3 linked regions of the Drosophila melanogaster genome follow. The protein of the gene in region 2 interacts with the protein of the main gene of each other region in a pairwise test. Each region holds a gene or a part of one and is shown on either strand. Other genes may lie near its edges.

Region 1 (7,092 bases), 4.3 Mb from region 2:
TGCAGCTAAATGAAAAGCCTCGAAGCGGCCCTAACTTGATAATATGGCCCAAATGAAATGGAATGCATTTTTAGTAACTCAATAGAGAATGACACGTTTTTAGTTGGAAATTTGTTTCTCATCCTTACGCAAACTTTGTTTCTCCCAACCAAATAATTCTCAAAACGGAAATGGAAATGTATTAATTCATCTATGTGTTTTATTATTATTATTTTGTAATTCTCTTGTGACTTGCGCTGAATGTCACTTTTCAAGATTTGAAATTGTATTTTGTTTTCTCTAGTCTATGCATCATAGAAATTTGTATACTATTTTGTTAAATTCACACCAAATTCTTTGAATTTCTGTTTATGCTTTAGTTAATTTATTTTATTTATTTTGTACAAATACAAATCATATATTCTTCAAAAAGATATTTGCAAGGAAATAAAATGGAATCAAGATCAAAACACACCTTCTTTCGCCCAAAACTCCAAATCTTTGGTTATTTAATTTGGTTAATGTACATTTACATAAATTTATTTATCACACACAATGGAACATAAATATAACAATAGTTTAAAGTTTGATATGTATCATCATAGAACGTTGGCTAGGAGGAGTAAAATAGATCGAATGACCACGTCGATTGTGCGGCTAGCAGAATGTGCTCCGAGTTGCATAACAAGTCAAGTGTAGTGGAAATGGCATTAGCATCGCAATTGGTTATTGGTTAGTAACAAACAGAATCGATCTATTGCACATAGTTGCCCAATAAAGGCCGCCTGTTCATGTGGCGGCACTGCATCGCGCTTTTGGCATGTACACAAAGCAAATATACATTTAGAAAAAGAACGTTAATTAGTCAGGGGCTGAAGTGGAGAAGTGTCATCATCGGATATGGGATTAGAACACAACAGCAAGACATCAATAGCATGCTCAACTCGACTCAATATTCACGTACATCGAGGTGTGGTATGTGGCCCGCTGGGCAGGTGACATGTTCAAGTTGCCCTGGTGCTTGCGGTTGTAGGCCCAAATCGCACAGGTGGCCAGCAGGGAGACTGGAAAATGCGATGGAATTAACTCGTATTCAACACACAGCGCATACATATGAGCAGATTAGACTCTTACCCAGCAGGAAGGACATGAAGAATACCTGCAGCCAGAAGTGACTGCCGCCGCTGCTGTCCACAATGATGCCCGCTGCAATGGTCACCACCGCTAGTCCCAGATTCTGCACAGACTGACAGCTGCAAAGGGAACGATTAAGGATTGAACAGCTTGAACAGATTAATGATCTTACAAGCCATATGCAGTGCCCAGTTGATATTCGGGCACAATCAATGAAACCAGGGGCCACAGACTGGCTGCCAACATGGAATAGGACAGTCCCATTATGCTCATCCCGATGTACGGATCCAAATGGGTGAAGGTCAGCAGGAAGTGAGCTAGCAGCGTGGAGATGGTGGCACAGAACACCCAGGTCACATTCCTTCCGACCTTGTCAATCACAAATCCAAACAGTGGCGATGCTATAGCAGAGATCAGGTAGACAATCGAGTTTACTGTGTTCGCCTCATCCGGCGTCATGTGGAAATTGCTGACGAAGAAGGCCTGGCCAAGAGCCACGAAAGGAAAGATGGCAACGTAGTAGGCCACACATACCACGGACACCATCCAGAAGTCCAGCTTGAAGGTGACTATATCGCTTAGTTTGGCCAATTCTCCACCAGGATTGTTATTTCGCTTAAGGATTCTCTCCGCGCGCTTGTCCATCCAACCTAAGTAAACGTGAAATCGAATAATATAAACTGATATTTAAATACACAAGTAATCCTACCTAGAATCAAGGTGCAAACCAGGGACATGACGCACGTTGAGGAGGCCAGGAACAGGGCCACGCCCAGACCCTTGTAGCCGGAATAGGATTTCGAAACGTATCCATATAGTGGTTGCATAATCCAAAAGTTGACGGTGCTGCCGAAACGGGCTACCGACAACTGCAGTCCAAAGACCATGTTAATCTCCTTGCCCTTGAACCATAGCACCGCATAGCTGTTTTGGGCCACAGCCAGCGACTCAGCCCCGATGCCGAAAACAAAGCGTCCCACGATCATCAACCAAAAGTGGCCCAGGACTCCGCCGGTGGCGAAGATCAACTGGCCAACGAGCACGATCAGCATGTAGATAATGGTGCCCAGGCGGATGCCAAACACCCGGTCGATGAGGAAGCCGCCCACAAAGCAGAGCACAATATTTGGCCACGAGTAGATGGAGTAAATCAGCGTGAACTCGGTGGAGCTGAGTTGCAGTTCCTTTTGGAAAACGTCCTGCAGTGCGCCGGGATTATCGTAGCAAAAATAGGAACCTATTAAAGGAGTTATTTAAGTAGGTATGGTCCCAAGTGTTGTTGCAAAGGAATTCACGTTCTTACCAAAACCCAAGAGGCACATAAAGAGCAGGGCGAGGAAGCGATGTGGCGTGCTCGTCGGATCACAGCATCCGGCATCCTTCTGGTGACCGGCTAGCTCTGTGTCCCGAGTGCTGCGTCGCCGCACCACAGGATGCACTTCGTCATCGCTGCTGCTGCAGGTGCTGCTGCTCGACGAGCTAACGATGGGTTTGCGCTCCTCGCGTGACATTATTGCCACTTTTCGTTGACAGAATGATGGAGGGTTGACGGGAAATTTGAGTTGTGCGATGGTAATTGCTATTTGTGGCTGCTCCTCTTTTCCGGAATTCCTGTTCCTCGACCGGTGGTGGGTGGTGGGCGGTAGGCGGGGGGTTGGGGGCGGGCTGTGGCCCTACTGTTGCTGCTTATCACTAGACCACACCATAATTCCGTGTTGTTGTTGTTGCTGCTGTTGCCTCAGTATTTGTGCAGTATTGATTATTCCCGCACACAGAGATGATGGAAATTGGAAAGGTTGGAATGGGGGGTGTTTCGGTTAATCTGCAAAAAAGCCAAGATTGAAAATTGCATTCCCACACACACAAAACATTTTACGCCCTCTCTCACACACACACACTCATACACATGCAGATGCAGGTATGTACATATATGTCACGGGTGGGTGTGCGTTAGTGTGTGCTTGCTAGGTAAACATGAAAGATCTCGTTGTCCGTTGGCTGACTAACGGTTAATGGGTAATCAATTAAGCGCTTGCATGCGCATAACATTTAGTTGACACCTGATTTAAGGCTTTACTACGCTATTTGCGTATTGAAAGCAGCTCTACTGTGGTATAAATTCGATATGTACACACACCCACGTCAATAAATAGGCATATGTAAATGCCGTATATCAACAACAAAAAAAAGGGATTAACAAGCAAATGCCCCGTTATCGCAGTCAACAAACGAAGTCACACACTAATTAATCACTAGTCCACGGTCTTATTTTGCATTATTTACATTCGATATTTTCGAATTGCGATTGTGGCGGGCTTACGATCCAGGAAAACTTTACTTAATATTTCTTGATGTATTTATGTTGATTATCAACAATGTATTGTGATGAGAAAGTCCTATCACGCCTACTATATGTTCAACAAGTCGTGGACTTACGGTTTATTTCTGTCCCCTGTCGGGAGAAGAATGGTCGGTATTACCTGGTTTCCCTACCTGTAGCTGTAGAAATGGAAGTGGGCATTGAGCTCTTGATATCGATATATCGATTACCTTGGGAATATCCTTACGAAAAACCGTTACTATCATTACGTTTTAACGGATTTGCGAAACATAAGCACTTGCTAAAAAAGTTTGCTTCGATTTATTAAGAATATCAAATGGATTACCAAACACATTCGTATGAGATGCAGAAAAATAAAACTATTTATTCGTCACCATTGAAAACCACAACAATTTATTGTCTTATAATAACGGTAAAATTCATAACTATCGATAGTTAACAACACTGCCCGCCTGTGCATCACTGACCAGTGCTGCAAAACGACCGCAGCGCATCAGGTGGCAACCGTGTGTTCCTACACCAAGCAAAACAACTATTTTATTATTAAATTCAGCACAAAGTTCAATGATTATTAGGTCCTCTGCACACTCACTATTCGATCAGCAAGCACTGGCACAGCGATAAGTATGTAAGTTAAAGTTTCAAAATGGTACAAAGCCAACCAAATGTGCGGGCGCACGCTATTTTGTGCAGTGTAAAGGCGCCAACGATGTTGTCTTCGTCTCGCACAACGCAAATTTATTCAAAGACCCACTGCCACATTTTGATACGCTCCCGAGCAGCTAAACACGTTTCGTATGCTTGCATGTCCATTTCGTAATGCCCCCGATCAGGAACTAAGGTCTGTCCACCCGAGATGGCGGCGATAAAGGTGAGTTTGCGACTGCCCTTTTGGAGCACACAGACAATGGCCCAACTAAATGCGTTGTACAACCACAGAACATCACCCTGGGCATTCTGTACGGCCTGTGGGACAGCATACGTGGCATGACACTGGTCCTGCACATCGACGACGAGGTGAACCGCCAGAATGCCGAGCAGGAGCACCGCCAACAGCTGCGTCGCACCGACAAGGATCGTTACGAACGCGCCAGGAGATCACCGTCACCAGTGCCCAGTTCCGCGGCTGCCATGATTCGGGAGGAGTATGCCAAGCAGGCGGAGGAGAACGCCGACGAGCGGACGCTAGAGAAGATCCTGGGCAAGAAGCCAGCCGCCCAGGATCAACACCCGCAGGGGTATGTGTTACACAAAGACTCATTCCACGTACATGTAATTTTAAACTGCGCACTTGATTTTTAATCCGGCGACACAGGGAGAAGAAGATCGCCAAGAAGCTGTTCAAGTGCTGCATGCTCAATGGCGGTTTCACCTGGCTGAGCATCGTCCTGTTCGAGAACGCTCTGCTGCCCACGCTCAAATTCTGCCTTACCATCTTCTATGGAGCCCATTCCGAGACCCTGCCGGTGGTTTGGGGCTGGCTGCATCCCATACTGTCCCTGCTCTTCGGCATGATGTGGGTGCTGCCCATATTCATGCTCTCCAAGATTGTGAGCTCTCTGTGGTTCGCGGACATAGCCAATGCCGCGTATCGCGTGAGAAAGGGTCGCCCGCAGCTAATCCCTGGAATTAGCAAACTGGTGGCCGACTTCCTATTCAGCATGGTGGTGCAAATGCTGTTCCTGGTACAGAGCATGCTGGTTAACCTAGTGCCTGTGAAATATGTGGGCTCCTCGCTGTGCTTCGTGCATCTGTGCCTGCTCTACTCACTGTACTCCTTCGAGTACAAGTGGTTCAACATGGGCTGGGAGCTACATAGACGACTCACGTACATTGAAAAGAACTGGCCCTATTTCTTCGGCTTCGGAATACCGCTCACCGTGCTGACAAATCTGTCCAGCTCGGTGATCGTCAGTAGCTGCATCTTCTCCATCTTTTTTCCCCTGTTCATACTCAGCGGCAATGAGGCAAAACCCATTGTGGACACCACGTAAGTGTTTTTGGTTTGGTAACACAGTCCAGCTTCACTAAATCGAACTTCTGGAAAATGTAAACTGGAAAGTGATGTAGTTCATGTTCAAACTATCACGCAATTTTAGTTGGACGTCTTCATGTAATGTAATGTAATTCGTTTTTCCTTTGTTCGTGACCAGCACGTATCGATTTAGAGAAGCTCTTCTGTACTATATCTATAAATATAAATAACTAAATATTTGACATCCACCCAGTGAGGTCTCCCTGCGTCTCTTCTCGCCGGTGGTCTTCATATCGAACCTCTGCTTCGGCGGCAATCCGTGGAGCAAGGCCAATCGACTGAGTGCCATGCAGCGGCAGCAGTATGAGCTGCAGCAGCGACAGCGTTTGCTCCAGCGGGACGAGCAACTGCTCAAGCAGCGCAAGCAGCAATATGTGCAGCAGCAACGGCTGCAACAGGAGCAGCTAATGCGACGTGATCGCTCGCATTCGCGATCACAGACACCGCAGCTGGGACATCCGCATCGCTACGCCCAGGCGCCCGTTTTCGATGCGGGTCGGGTGCGCGATTCCTCCGCCTCGTCAACGCACAGCTCCAATGCGCCGAGCATTAATAGCCATCGGCCGCCGCCTTATTACGGCAGCTCGCTGCGCGGAGCTGCGCCTTTGGTGCCCACTCCTGTGCCCGGTGCACCGAGAGCTCCGCTAACCCCGCCCGTGATACGCCAGGAGTCGGGGCCCGATGACTGGAACTTGTGAGATTTATGCTTATACACGCAACGTAGGCTTTAGCTATATATAATTCGATCTGTGTAATCTACGTATCATCTACCTATCTAACCATCGTGAACTGTGTAAGTTAAAGATAACTCTAGGTCTACGCATAATGACAATGTTCGCTAGTCGACAACGCCACCGCCACCACCACCACCAACACAACGCCCTATTCGGAATGGGCATGACTATATATATATAGACTATAGAGTGGCTATATCTGAAATGCGGCTCGCGCAACTGCTGCATAATCGTTTACATGTTTATTTTAGTCGTCGTTTTTCTCTTTAATTTTTGCTCGTAGGGTGATATGCTCTACACTAGAAATTACGTCGGGCGTAAAGTTCGTTAAATGTATAATTAATCAAAAATAAAATTAATTTTGTACTTTCGTCAATTGTTGTTGCTTGCTTGCCTAATGGGGAGCGCTTGGCCAAGCCTTATCAGTGCGATTTGTCTCGACTAGATTATAGATTGTGTGAGTCAGAAGTAATCTAAAATAGTTGCTAATTTCGTTTCGTTTGATGACTGTCACAGTTTTTAATAAGGATCACTTCCTATTTTTAAATCAGAAGTTCCTATAATAGCTTTGCCCAATTTATGACCCTATTCCCAATGTTTCCACTCCACCAATTCGAATAATAATTTCATGATGATTTGACAATATAACAGCTACTTAGTACCACATAATAACTCCCCCCCGAACTGAATCCTCCTTCCCTAACCGCCACCAATTAACGCTTGAGTTACAGCGCACGAACAATCGAACCAGGATATGGGTTCACGCTTGGATTGGGGTGTTGCTGATGTGGCGTTGTGGGCGATTGCCGACCAAATTGATTATCACCAAGGTAACACCCATGTGTCCACACATTGTTCTGCTTGAAAGT
Region 2 (7,461 bases):
CAAGGCGCAGGCCTCCCTTTCGGCCAACACCTTTGCGGTCACGGGTCACGGCGAGACCCGGAAGGTGGTCGAAATGCTGCCCGATATCCTGCCCCAGCTGGGCCAGGAGACAGTCGTCCAGCTGCGGATGTATGCCAATGCCATGAACAGTCAAAAGGGGGCGCCGGGAAGCGGAGATGGACCTCTCCCAGCGGAGGAGGATGACGATGTTCCCTTGCTCGTTGGCGATTTCGATGAGGTGGCCAAGGTGGAGGCGACCAAGCAGCCAGTACATGAGCCAAAGGAATCTGCGGAGATCAAAGCCAAGGATAAGCAGCAGCAGCAGCCTAAGAAGGAACAGAAGCAGTCAGCGAAAGTGCCGGAGACAACCAATCCCAGCGAGAATCCCAAAGAGAAACAGGAAAATAAGAAGGGTCAGGCCAAAAATAACAAGAAGGGTGATCCACAGACCAACAAGGACAAGACCAATAAAAGCAAGGATCAGGCCAAGGGTCAGCCTGCTCCCCAAGCCAACAAGGAAACGACACAGGCTGCACAAGCTCTCAAACAGAATCCTTCGAAGCCCGCTGTACAGCAGAAAAAGGATCAAGTGCTCGCAGTTGACCAGAAGATTGAAGCCAACGGTGCGATTCAAAAGGCGCAACAACCAAAGCCCGCCGAGACCAAGTCCACTGACCAGAAAGTTGAACCCAAATCGGCAGAGAAGCAGGTGGACAAGGCCAAACCCATTGAACAGACCAAAACCAAAGAGTCCAAGGTGGAACATCCGAAACCAGCTCAAAAGCAATTGGATCAGAACACTCAGGCCAAACCCACGGCGGAGAGAAGTGAAGCTAAGCCAGTGGTACCGACACCAGAACCCCAGAAGTCCGCTCCTCCTGCTGTCCAGACTCTCGCCCAGATTGTGGCTTTGCCTGCGGAGAAACCAGCCAATGAAGCTGTTGCCGCTCCCAAAGCTGAGGAGCAGAAAAAAGACTCGTCTGGTCCAGCTAAGGTAGAGCCAGCGATTACTCCATCGGCACCACAACCAGTCACCACTGCTGAGCCACCCAAGAGTGCTCTCAAACAGGACTCACCTCCTAAGAGCGCTCCCAAGCAGGGATCCCCACCGAAGAATGTTCCAAAACAGGAATCACCACCACAGAGTGCTCCCAAACAGGATTCCCCACCAAAGGGTGCTCCCAAACAGGATTCCCCACCAAAGGGTGCTCCCAAACAGGATTCACCACCAAAGGGTGCCCCTAAACAGGATTCAGCGCCACAACAAAAGACTCCACCACCAGTTAAACAGGAAGTAGCACCAGCTAAGCAGGATGAACCACCAGCTAAGCAGGATGCACCACCAGCTAAACAGGATGCACCAGTTCCAGTTCCAGAAGTTATCAAAACGCTAGCACCGGAAGTCCCCAACGTTTCTCAGGCACCTGCACAACCTCAGGGTCAGGCTGCTCTCGCTTCTGAAAAACCAGCGGATGCGCCAAAGGCCATTGAGGAACCGAAGGCTGCACCCAAGAAGGAATCACCACCACCCACAAAACCAGTGACGGCAACAGTTCCGGTAGCACCTGCCACTCCTGCTGAGGCGCCATCTCCTCTGGCTCCCTCCACTCCGCCATCGACTCCCACCTCGGTGCCGCCCTCTGCAGCGACAGTGACTCCTCCATCTCCCGCCACGGTGACTCCTCCGTCGCCTGCTGTAGTTACTCCGCCTCAGAAACAGTCGGCGGCTCCCCAAGCGGGAATCAAGAAGCAGGAGGCAGGAACGAAGACAAAACAGCAGCAGCCAGCCAACAAGCCCCAACAACCGCAAAAGCAGCCACCAGGAGGAGCAGGAGGATCAGCTGGGCCAGGAGGGAACAAGGGCGTGCAGAAACAGCCGAACCCCAATGCCAAGCCAGCAGTTGCTCCAAAGCCGGCCCAGGCCACTCCAAAACCCGCTGCTGCTTCTCCAAAAGCATCCCCCAACCAGACGAATCCACAACAACAGCAGGGAAAAGCAGCTAACAAAGCGTCTCCTCCAAAGCAAACTGGACCAACTGGGGGGCAGCAGAAGTCGGCGGCGAACGCCTCGAAGGCCACAGCCTCCCCGAAATCGGCTGCATCCCCAAAAGCCACCTCCCCGAAGGCCGGAACTCCTACCAATCCTGCTTCCGCCTCTGGGGGTCCCAACTGATCCTCCTTCAGTCTATTTTCTAATCGGCGCCCTTGCATTTCAAACTCACTCGCATTTTCAGAGCCCATTTTCGCCTTCGTTAATCTCTGATGAACCCGGGTACTAACCGTTTTTTGATTATTTGTGGCCTTTACATTTTTGAATAAAATTATGATTTAACAAAGACTGAAGTGAATCGAGAAATTCTTTCTCAATATCTTTGGTTATTCCATTGCAATGTCACAACAAATTGTAGCCTATTAATCGTTCTCGAGAATAGCATTGAAAATTACGATTCTTTAATTTATTATTAACACATAACACATAGGGAATTTTTGAACGTGCAGCAGCATATGATACTTTGAATTTAGCGCCCCATTGGAGGCACTGCTTATCGATATTTTATCCAACTTTGCCCAGCCCTGGTTCGATAGGTCGGAAAGCCCTGCAATTTGCATGAAAGACACCCAAAATTACTTGTTTTTCGTTTATCCTGGGCTTAACTCGACTTAGCGTGGCTGCTAGAGGGCTTCTCCTCGTCCTTGGGCGCCTGCTCCTTCTCCGGGTTCAGCTTCCAGATGGCGTAGTTCAGAGCCGTCGCGAATCCCAGCCAGGCGACGTAGGGTACGAAGAGCAATCCAGCGGTCTTGTTCACTCGGTAGAACAGAACGCCGCAGGCGGACGCGGCGGCCGTGAGTGCAACTATGTCAATAAGGCCCTGGTGGATGAAGCGGATTAGACATAACACCTGGGCTTGGTGATATCAGCAGTACTCACGCCCTTGATGTTGTGCTGCCCGAAGAAAATGGGCGTCCACGCCCAGTTCAAGGCCAGCTGGGTGCCGTACGCGATCAGGGGCAGTTTGGCCGCCTCGCCGGCGAAGCCTCCGCCATCACGCCACACCAGGTAGGAGCCGTAGCCCATTCCCGCGTACAAGGAGATCCACATCGGCGCAAAGACCGAGTTGGGCGGCTTGAAGGACGGGAACTTAAGGTTGGCGTACCAGCTCTGGAGATGCTGCCTGGTCAGCCGCCCGTTATAGATGCCGCCCAGATTGGGCAGAATCACGGCCCCGGCGATGCGGAGAATGTTTCCAGCACACGGACGATCAGCCATTTTCAGAGTTCGCACTGCAAATGAGGCGCAGTAGTGGCGAACCTTCTGGTTTCACTGTTTTGTTTGCCGGTGATTTCATTCGAATGCACGAGTATTGCGAGTTAACGGGGCGAATACGCGACGGATGATTGTGTGGGTAAGCTCCAGCGATGCCAATTTGGCTAGATTTAAACTAGCTAAAGTATGTGGAATGCAACTTGAAATCAAAGACGCTAGAATTAATTAATAGAATCGCATGGTTATTTAGAGCTGTGAACATTTGATTTCTGCCATGAAGGAATTCTCATGTTTTTCTTTAACATGCTATCTGATTAATAGGGATTTAATATTTATCTGGAATTTTGGCAAAGCTGCAAAGTCATTGCTAAGCCGTTAATAGCTGGTTGTCACATGTGCAGGGGAGGAGCATAATGCTTATCAATAGATTCCAAAATGATGTAATGAATGAGTAATGTCGTCGATCTATGGAAGTAATTATTATAATTATATCTACCCATTCGTATTTATTTAAAATTATCTTCGCTGCTGGGTGTCGGAATCACCCTGTGGGTAGGCAGATTTAACAAAACCCGTTAAGTTTTGAAAATAGAAATAGAACTGTATTGTTGGGAAGTACCATATTAAATTCCCTGGAAAAGTTTTGTTTAGCTTGTTTGTTTGTTTTACCCCATGACAAATCGTGCGATCAAGTGGTGAATGATAACTTGAGAACTCATAAACCAAAGAGTTATTTGTCGGTAAAGTGAATTAATGGTGAAATAAAACTATTGTGCTTATTTGCTCTTTGCAATATCCAATAACCTGGATCAAGTTGGTATCTCAATTAATCAATTGCTTAGGAGCAACCATGACAACCGTTGCTAGGCAAACACATTGTTACTGTGTTTTGGCTCCTGCCAAAACAAATTCATCCACTAAAGGTGGAAAACCGGTGTGATGACTCTCTACTTTGACACGAAAATCGAGTTCTTGGACTCGGATGCAGTGAGCACCATCAGCAGCTGGCATCCCAGTGAGCCGCTCTTCGCAGTGGCCTCTTTTAGTCCCGAAAGAGGCGGTTCAGTGACCATCTTTGCAGATACCGTCAGTATTAATCGCTTTGGTCGCAGACCCTGCCAAAAATCGGAATGTATATAATCTATATAATCAAATTGCAGGGTGAGCCCCAGCGAGATGTAACTTATCCGGTGCACGCCACTTCGCAAGCGACGGCACTATGCTGGCATCCGGAGAAGGCGCTCCTGGCCAGCGGTTGGGAGCACGGCGACATCCATGTGTGGTTCGCTGGTCACAGGGAGTTTGCCAGCGTGAACGCACCGCACAAGGCGGCCATCGTCCTGCTGCAGTTCAGCGAGCAGGGCGGGCGGATGGTCACGGCGGATGCCATGGGCTTGGTCACCGGATGGCGCTGCGATGGCCAGTACCAGTTCCTAACCATGTTCTCCCACGACCTGCGGGAGGTGTTGCTGCTGATCTGCTTCCGCCTTACGGTGGAGAGTGAGGTGCGCGAGGAGATGGCCAATCTAGCCAAGGCTGCTGTGGCAGGCGATGAGAACGCCCTGGACACCCTAACCAATTGGAGACCGCGCACAGCAGCCCGGAGCATGACCCATTCGGGGGTGCGGGACAACCACTGCTTCTACGCTTGCACCCAAGGAGGAGTGGTGTACTACATCAACCAAGGAGGCGCCTGTGTCGAGGTGATGAAGTGCGGATCACTGCCTCCCATTGTCCAGATGTTGTGGCACCCAAGAAAGTAAAGAGCTGTTGAGATCGAAAGGTTCTTTACCTGAACCCTAACATTATTCCATTCTAGGGACGCCGTCATTTGCCTGATGGAGGACTTGACAGTCACCTTGTTTTTGGTTGAATCCACAGGCATCCTTACGGAGCTGGATCGTGTTAAAATGAGCGGACGTGGAGGCGGTCGGCAGGGAGGCATCGCGTGGTCTGGAAACTCTTTAGCCATCATAACAGGTAGGATATATTATTCGATTTTTCACTTCTGTGCTAAATTTAAGACTAATTTTCAGGCGATTTTTTCGTCCGCATTTGGGACATCGAGAGAAGCGACAATTACCTATTGAAAATGGACCTACCCAGTGGCAACCAGCCAGGCTCATCTATGACCACTTTAAGTAATGGCACCATGTCCTCGTCCAACCAATTCTTTAGCCATGACAGCAGCGAAAGCAGCGGCGTTCTCCGCAAGACACCAAAGTACGGCCAGCTGAACGGCGAAATGTTCACCTGCTTGGCATATAGCTCTACGGGACAGACTCTGTGTGCAGGAACGTCCCAGGGGAATGTCTATACTTGGAAGAGGAGCGGCAGCAGGCTAGTCGGTGCCCCCGAAGATGCCTGGCAGCTGACGAACATATCTTCCGTGCGAGGAGCCATCCGCAGCTGCGAATGGGGATACAATGAGCTAGCCAAGCCCTGCATGCTGGTCAACTGCCTTTCCAATGTTTTCATGCTGAAGGAGCAACCTCTGCTCGCCGTTCATACCCGCGAACTGTGGGCAGTTCAGAGGTCAGCCAAATCAGTGCAATTGACGCACTGCAGCGGTCGGGAGGCCATTGTTCAGTCCGAGTTCGCCGTGACTGCCATGGCTTTGAGTGAACTGAGCTTGGTGATGAGTAATGGCAGGAGCATATCATCCTATAGCCTGCAGAAAGTGGAGAAGAGCTTGGATGAGTTCGAGGAGATCCTGCAGACAGTGGAGGGCACAACACCGACGACGGAATCTACCACCACTCCGTTGAGTCTGAAACTCCTGCAGACCTTTGCTGCCGAATGCTTAGCCTTGAATCTGTGCAACCAGAACATATTTTGCTTGGGTAGCAGTGACGTTTTTGTTTACTCCGTGGGAGGGGTAGTGCTTCACCGCATTCAAGCAAGCGATATTGAAGGAAAGATCATTGGAATGGATTTGAGTGGCTGCTATCTCTCGGTATTTACCATGAATGGATATGTGAAAGCTTACGACGTTTCTAGGCACGATCCCAAGCTGCTCTTTCCCAGCAAATCGGGTCACGACATTTTCGATGACTTCGGGGAGTTCATTCTGGTCAAGTGCAATAGCTCCGGCAGCCACTTGGCCATGGTGATAGCCAGTAGCAATTTCACCCCTATATCCACTTTATTCTGCTGGGACTTTGAGCGCAGCAATCTTCTTGAATATGGACTACTGGAGCCAGAAACCAACGCCAAGAAGGAGTCTTCGACAAGTTTGCCGGTTCGGATTTTCTGGGATGCAGAGGAACCTCGTCTCTTGGCTACAGAAGTCAAGTCCATGATTCAGAAGACCCTGCCCCAGAAGAACTCCTTGCAACCCAGTCATTTTGTGCAGTCAAAAGTCGTCCTTTTGTTTTATTCCGAGAAAGGCTGCCTGAATGTCCTCGAAACACAATCCATGAGCCCAGGCTGCCAGCTACTGAACCTTTGTGTACCCAACGTGATCCGGCTGAAGATCAATACGATGGAGGAGCAACCTCTGCAAGACTTCGTCGACCTACAGCAGTGCAATCCAGTTACGAGGAAGCAAGTCCTGAATTTCAGTCTCTACGTCGCAGAGGGAAATATGGATATGGCTTATCGCAGCATTCGCTCGATTCAATCGAAAGTGATCTGGACAAATCTGGCTAAGATGTGCGTGCACACGAATCGCTTGGACGTGGCCAAGGTGTGCATGGGCCACTTGGAACAGGCCCGCTCCGTTCGTGCCTTACGCCAAGCGATTGAAGATGACGATCTGGAGACGGAAGCCAAGGTGGCTGTGCTGGCGATAGAACTCGGAATGATTGAGGAAGCCAAGGATCTTTATCGTCGATGCAAGCGCTTCGATTTGCTAAACAAGCTGCTCCAGTCCATTGGGCACTTGGATGAAGCAGTAGAGCTGGCCGAGGCCGAGGATCGGATTCATCTGAAGCACACGTACTATCAAAAGGCACAGGAGCTGCGAGAGAGGGGTGACATCAAGGGAGCTCTGGAGTACTTTGAAAAGACCCAGAATCCAGCGCAAAATATTACCCAACTGCTTTTGGAAAACCCTGGCGCCATGAAGCGCTACATCCAGACCACCAGCGATCCCAAGCTGCTTAAATGGTGGGGCCAGTATATTGAGAGCTCCGGCGACATGGATGCTGCTCTGGCTGTCTACCACAAGGCGGAGGACTGGTTCTCGCAGGTAA
Region 3 (5,181 bases), about 18 Mb from region 2:
ATCCAGTGACCCTGGCAAAATTGTTACCGAGATGTGCTTTATTTGCATCAGTATTAAATGCAATTAATAAATAATGAGCACACCGGCATGGCGTGTAAACTCAGCAGAGAAGTGGAGCTGTGTCCGTGACAAGTTGTCCTGCACGCTTAACTTGATGTGGAGACAACAAGTGACCGGCAGGGAAATTAGTTACGGTGTCGCACAAGGACAAGACCAGGACTCAGAACTAATCCTTCGTCCTCCGACTGGTGGCCATATGTGTGTGAGTCAGTGCCTCGCATGCCAGATCCGTCATCATTAGTTGAATATGTCACAACAGACACTTGGCCCAATTGATTTAGTGTCATGCACTGAGCTCAACAGTTCACTTGCCTTCTGCTGCCATTTGGCAGCTATACTCGTCCTTGTACACGTCTTCCTTTGCCAGTTGTTGGCCGACATTCCCCGTTGACACTCTACGGCCAAAGATCGATGGCGTACAGAAATCAACGGGAAGTGAATTTCAAACAGTTGCGTAATTAACTTGGGGGCTTCATTAATCAAACACGCAGGCAAACATGAGAAGCACTTGAAATGGAATTATATATGCCAAAATTGAATATGCATTTTACATTCGGCTAACAAGATTAACTGATAAGCCGGATCTACGATTGTCGAGATTATTTTGTGTGTGGGCGTGACAATTATGGTTGTTAGAGTGGGCGTGGCAATCTTCTGAAAAGCCTGCCTACCTGGACTTTCGTACTTTTACAGTTCCCAAAATTAAAGCGCTAAAACGGACAGATGAACCGAACAGATAGACACGGAAAAGATCCTGATGAATATGCATAAGACACTTACCTGTTACAAACTGTGCAGCGAACGAATCTACTATATCCCTTTACTTTGCGAGTACGGGGTGCTGGGGTGGATTTCAAATGTTCATTGTTCTATAAATATTACTATCCGTATTAACTACCTGATTCAATATAGCTTACAGAGGCTTAGATGTTATTAAGCACGTGTATAACAGACAGAAACAACCAATAGCTTACGGCTTAACATTGGACGCTGCGTCTCGTCCTGATGAATATTCATGATCTCCGGGCATCCTTGCCGACCACTTGAAAGTTAGCCTGCTCTGCAGTTTGTCCGCCATGCCGAAATTATAATTCCAGCTCGCTCGTAACTCGCACAAACGTCAGTCTCATTAATTTTGGGCAAGTTGCAGTTTTAAAATTTAGTGCCGGCCCCCAAGTTAATTAACACCTGAGCCTCGGCAGCCGCCACCAAAGTGGGCGGGAAATGGGCTGGGAAAATCGAGCTGGTTTCAGCCACTTCAGTCACACTTTTGTGCTCGGCAGCCGTGTGCACTGACGCAAAGCGGAAGTGGCACTTTTCCCAGTTGAAGCTGGAGCGGAATTTCAGAATGGATGGGGGGATGGAAAATGGGAGCGGGGAATAAGGAATGGGTAATGGGGATCGGTAGCTGCCAGCAGCAGGCGTATCGAAAACCGAAACTTTTGATGGAAAAAGTTTGCAACAACAAACGCATGTTGGCGGGCAAAACAGGCAAGCTAAAAAGCTGAATAGCCGCGGCAAGGGCGCCTTTAAACCATCAAGTAAGTCGCTATAATTCGCGCGCACCGCCTCATGAATTTTTGATTCTTTCTTAGCATTTTTCACTCCGCCAGTCATTCTATCGCTTTCCATTTAATCTGAGTCTTAGCTTTGAATAATGAGCCCTGGCCAAGGTGCGAAGAACTGGGCCAAACTCGAGGGGGTTATCTATAAGCCGGGTTGATATGAAAAGTTCACACTGGGTAAGTAATTGCCTAATTCGAATGCATCGAAATGATAAAGTGAATTTAGTGTACCTTTCGAAAAATAAAAGTAACAATCTCCCATTAAAAAAACACAAACAGTAGACAGTCTGATTTTCGATATTATTTAAAAGTGAACACATTGTTGCACAATCGGTAAACAAGATCCGGAGTAGATCATCGAGCAAGATGTACAAGTTTTGTTGATGCGCTGAAGGAACTAAAAATGCCACAGAGGCAACTGCGAGTTTTCTCATATTTTTTTCCGCCGACTCTGCACTTTCTTTAAAAACCGCTGACTGATGCATGCTGATGACTTTGTCAACAACTTAAATTGTTTGGTGGCAATAAAGTGGACTGAAGTTTAAGTACATTTAGGACAGAAGGCAGCTTTCATTTTCTTCTAATGCAAACAAGTTAGCCCAGCTAAGCAGGATACATAATGCAATCAAATTAACTAGCGCTTGATACGTACTCAAAATCATTTTAAAATCCCTTTTTTAATTCCATCGTTTGTAGATGTATATGGACAGAACAATTAAAAGCATGCAAAAATTATAAAGAACACATAAGCCAACGAAATTAAAGTTTTGCAAAAAAGTATATGGCCTTGAGTCTTCCTCAGTTAATATTTCCATATTAGAGTCGTTATGAATCGCATCGGTTTGTTCTTGGTCCACTCCGTTGAGGGTGCAACTATCTCTATCCAATAAGACATCTTTTTCTTCACTTTAAATAAACAAATTATCACTTTAATGCTTTTGAAATACTTTCAAATAAGTATTATACCCCATTTTTTTGGAGGCACTCTGATCTTTTCAGCTTGAAGGCTCTGTATAAACTGGATGAAGGCACTCATCTGCAAACATGAAAAAATATTCAAGGGAATCGAATTCAAGAACGGAGGCACACTGTACTAAAATCTTTCGGATCGTATGCAGCTTGCACCATTAAAAATGATAATATATTGACAAATTTTTAAGGGACTACCGTCCTAAGTAAAACTATATAAGAGGTATCTGTAAAGTAAGTCTGAGATCACAAGTACATTCATTAGATAAATAACTAAAATTAGTGTAAGAAAAAATATGAACTAATAAAATAATTATTTAAGAAAATTTCTGAGAGGAGTAAACTCACCATAAGAACCCTAGAAAGGGTATTTGTAAGTAAAAACCAAAGCTTTCAGAGAATTTGACTGAAACTAAGAGACAACATTAAAGAGAACCTCTCAAGACGGAAATATATACAGCTGCGGTTAAAATAATAGCACTACTGGAGGTGGAAAGTTCATTTCCTAAAAATAATTATTAAATGTTTATATTTTTTAAAGTCAGATTGCATGAATAATAAGTACCATATGTTGGCTCTCTGAGCAAGAAATTTATGGTCTCTCAATGTAAAGGTTCTTTTTGTTTTTGGGCACTTGCTGCAAAAGTGCGCGAAATGAGGCGGTAACAAAAATAGCACTGACCACGTATTTGCTGAATAATAGAGTGATTGCTTTGGGTTTTTTTCGACAAATTTTGAAAAAGGAGTTGTATTAAAGGTTTTAATTGAATTTTTTCCAAACGAAGACCAAAAGTTCTCTAGTCATGGGTCGCGGCAAGCATTTTACCGTCGAAAAAAGAAATTTGATTAAAAACATGATCTCTAAAGGTAAAAAATACGCTGAAATTGGTGGCATTGTGGGTTGTTCAAGCTAAATGATCCGCAAAGCACTGCTGTTTGTCGAAAAGAACGAAACACGGCGAAGAAAGCCCTCAATGTCGCTTGGTTAGGCAAGGCAAGAAGGAGCCTTTAAAGCCGGCGACGGAACTGAAGAAGGAGCTTCAGATAGCTGAAAGCGGGGAAACTGACAAAAAAGAGAATCTCTCAAGACGGAAACAGAGTGCCAGAAGTATATAAGTACTGAAATGCCTAATATATGAATGTAAAACATTTATCGCTTTTAATAGATTGTTATCAAAGTTGATAGGGTTTGATGATTCGTAAGTAAGCATAAATTGATAACGTAGAACAAATTGATCTCTCTTCGCAATCTCTTACTTCAATGTGATTTTCTTGTCATTTTGAGACTCTTCTCCGCTCTCGTTTGACGGGTTTTCTCAGACTTATATAGTTATCTTATCTGAGTCACAAGCAACAAAAAGAAGATTGTCAGCTCTTGACGGTTCACTGTTTGCCTTGTTGTTGCCTCAATTACCACCTTCTGCCGTGGCGATAATAACCCAGACCCCAAACTGATTGGTAATCATGAAAAAGAGGGAAGGAAAAAACCGCTGAAAATGCCCGGAGACCAGCGAATCGCTCTTTAGTCGAGAGCAGAACGCGTTTTGAAATGGACACGGATGAGACTAAGGCTGGAACCTCGGGTCCGGGGACGTACCACGATGAGGTTGACTTTACCAGCGGATACGAGACTCAGTATAAGAAGGAGTACAGCCCGCTGAAACCGATTTTTGTACCGCCGCCGGATAAAAAGCACGCCTGGTTTCGCAACTGGTCCACCATACTGATGGTCAGCTTCCTGTCCGGGGTGTTTATTCTGGGAACCGTGATGCTGGTGGTCCAAGTTTTCACCGCCAGTCCCCTGCAGATCTTCATGATCGTGGCTATATATGTGGCTATAGCCGCTGTGATGATTTGGCTGGAGGTGCAGTCTATAAAAGTGCGGTGAAATAATATGTACGTGTCGTGACTAATTTAGAGCGTTATCGCACTTACGAGCTACGTTCTGTTTTCAAACAGTGGCAATCGAACTGTGTTCTGCTAGCAAATGCAAAGCTTAACTAAAAAGGAAGCGGCTTTACTGATTAGGCGCTAAGAACAAAAAATCATGATTTAATATAAGTTCAAAGTAAAGAAAGAAATCCCATAATCCATGTGTTTTATTTTTGACTAGACAGTGCTTTTAACGTTTTCCGATAATTCCGGTTCAATTAACTAATTATTTACGGCCCATAAATGAACGTAATCTAGAGAGCGAAACAAGGTGGCCAGATAAAGGGCTTTGTGTGAGATAAGCAAACAAAAGTGAACGAAAGAATCACGAATTCAAGCCATTTAACTGCAAAATAAATACGCATTTTGTTTGTCGATGTATAAAGGACAAATGTTGTAGTGACACATTAAAGCTCCATACATCACAGAGATTAACAAAGCAAAGTACATAAAAAAGATTCCCTTATCAATTAACTAATTAAATTAAGCACGCTAATTAAAAATTCATTAATAGCGGCTTAGCGATGGAGAGTGGAAATTCAATTATTTAACGCTGTTGTTTATTAAAGGAAGTGTCACAAACCGCATCTGCGCCGGTGTTTGGCACACAAAATTATTAAAATTATTTCCACTCTCACTTGAAAAAGAAAAAATA

The links. Proteins that work in one complex are often made in the same cells at the same time.
Region 1: the proteins of Tspo (region 2) and tank interact in a two-hybrid assay, tested with the Drosophila melanogaster proteins (one large-scale study listed by BioGRID).
Region 3: the proteins of Tspo (region 2) and CG15152 interact in a two-hybrid assay, tested with the Drosophila melanogaster proteins (one large-scale study listed by BioGRID).

The regions. Positions count from the first base shown.
Region 1 is NT_033779.5:4,834,835-4,841,926, reverse strand, and holds tank (tank), read left to right. Parts: upstream 1-3,927; 5' UTR 3,928-4,078; exon of another isoform or gene 4,079-4,082; intron 4,083-4,147; 5' UTR 4,148-4,310; coding exon 4,311-4,325; intron 4,326-4,393; coding exon 4,394-4,692; intron 4,693-4,769; coding exon 4,770-5,444; intron 5,445-5,682; coding exon 5,683-6,187; 3' UTR 6,188-6,592; downstream 6,593-7,092. Other genes in the region: CG12194 (uncharacterized protein), read right to left, coding at 734-791, 944-1,043, 1,114-1,232, 1,286-1,763, 1,823-2,350, 2,417-2,624.
Region 2 is NT_033779.5:555,506-562,966, reverse strand, and holds Tspo (translocator protein), read right to left. Parts: upstream 3,356-7,461; 5' UTR 3,269-3,355; coding exon 2,930-3,268; exon of another isoform or gene 2,871-2,929; coding exon 2,652-2,870; 3' UTR 2,444-2,651; downstream 1-2,443. Other genes in the region: uncNacbeta (putative nascent polypeptide-associated complex beta subunit), read left to right, coding at 1-2,173; rempA (reduced mechanoreceptor potential A), read left to right, coding at 4,205-4,351, 4,426-5,024, 5,085-5,245, 5,302-7,457.
Region 3 is NT_033779.5:18,110,540-18,115,720, forward strand, and holds CG15152 (uncharacterized protein), read left to right. Parts: upstream 1-4,007; 5' UTR 4,008-4,143; coding exon 4,144-4,482; 3' UTR 4,483-4,681; downstream 4,682-5,181. Other genes in the region: CG44476 (uncharacterized protein), read right to left, coding at 2,303-2,531, 2,592-2,596.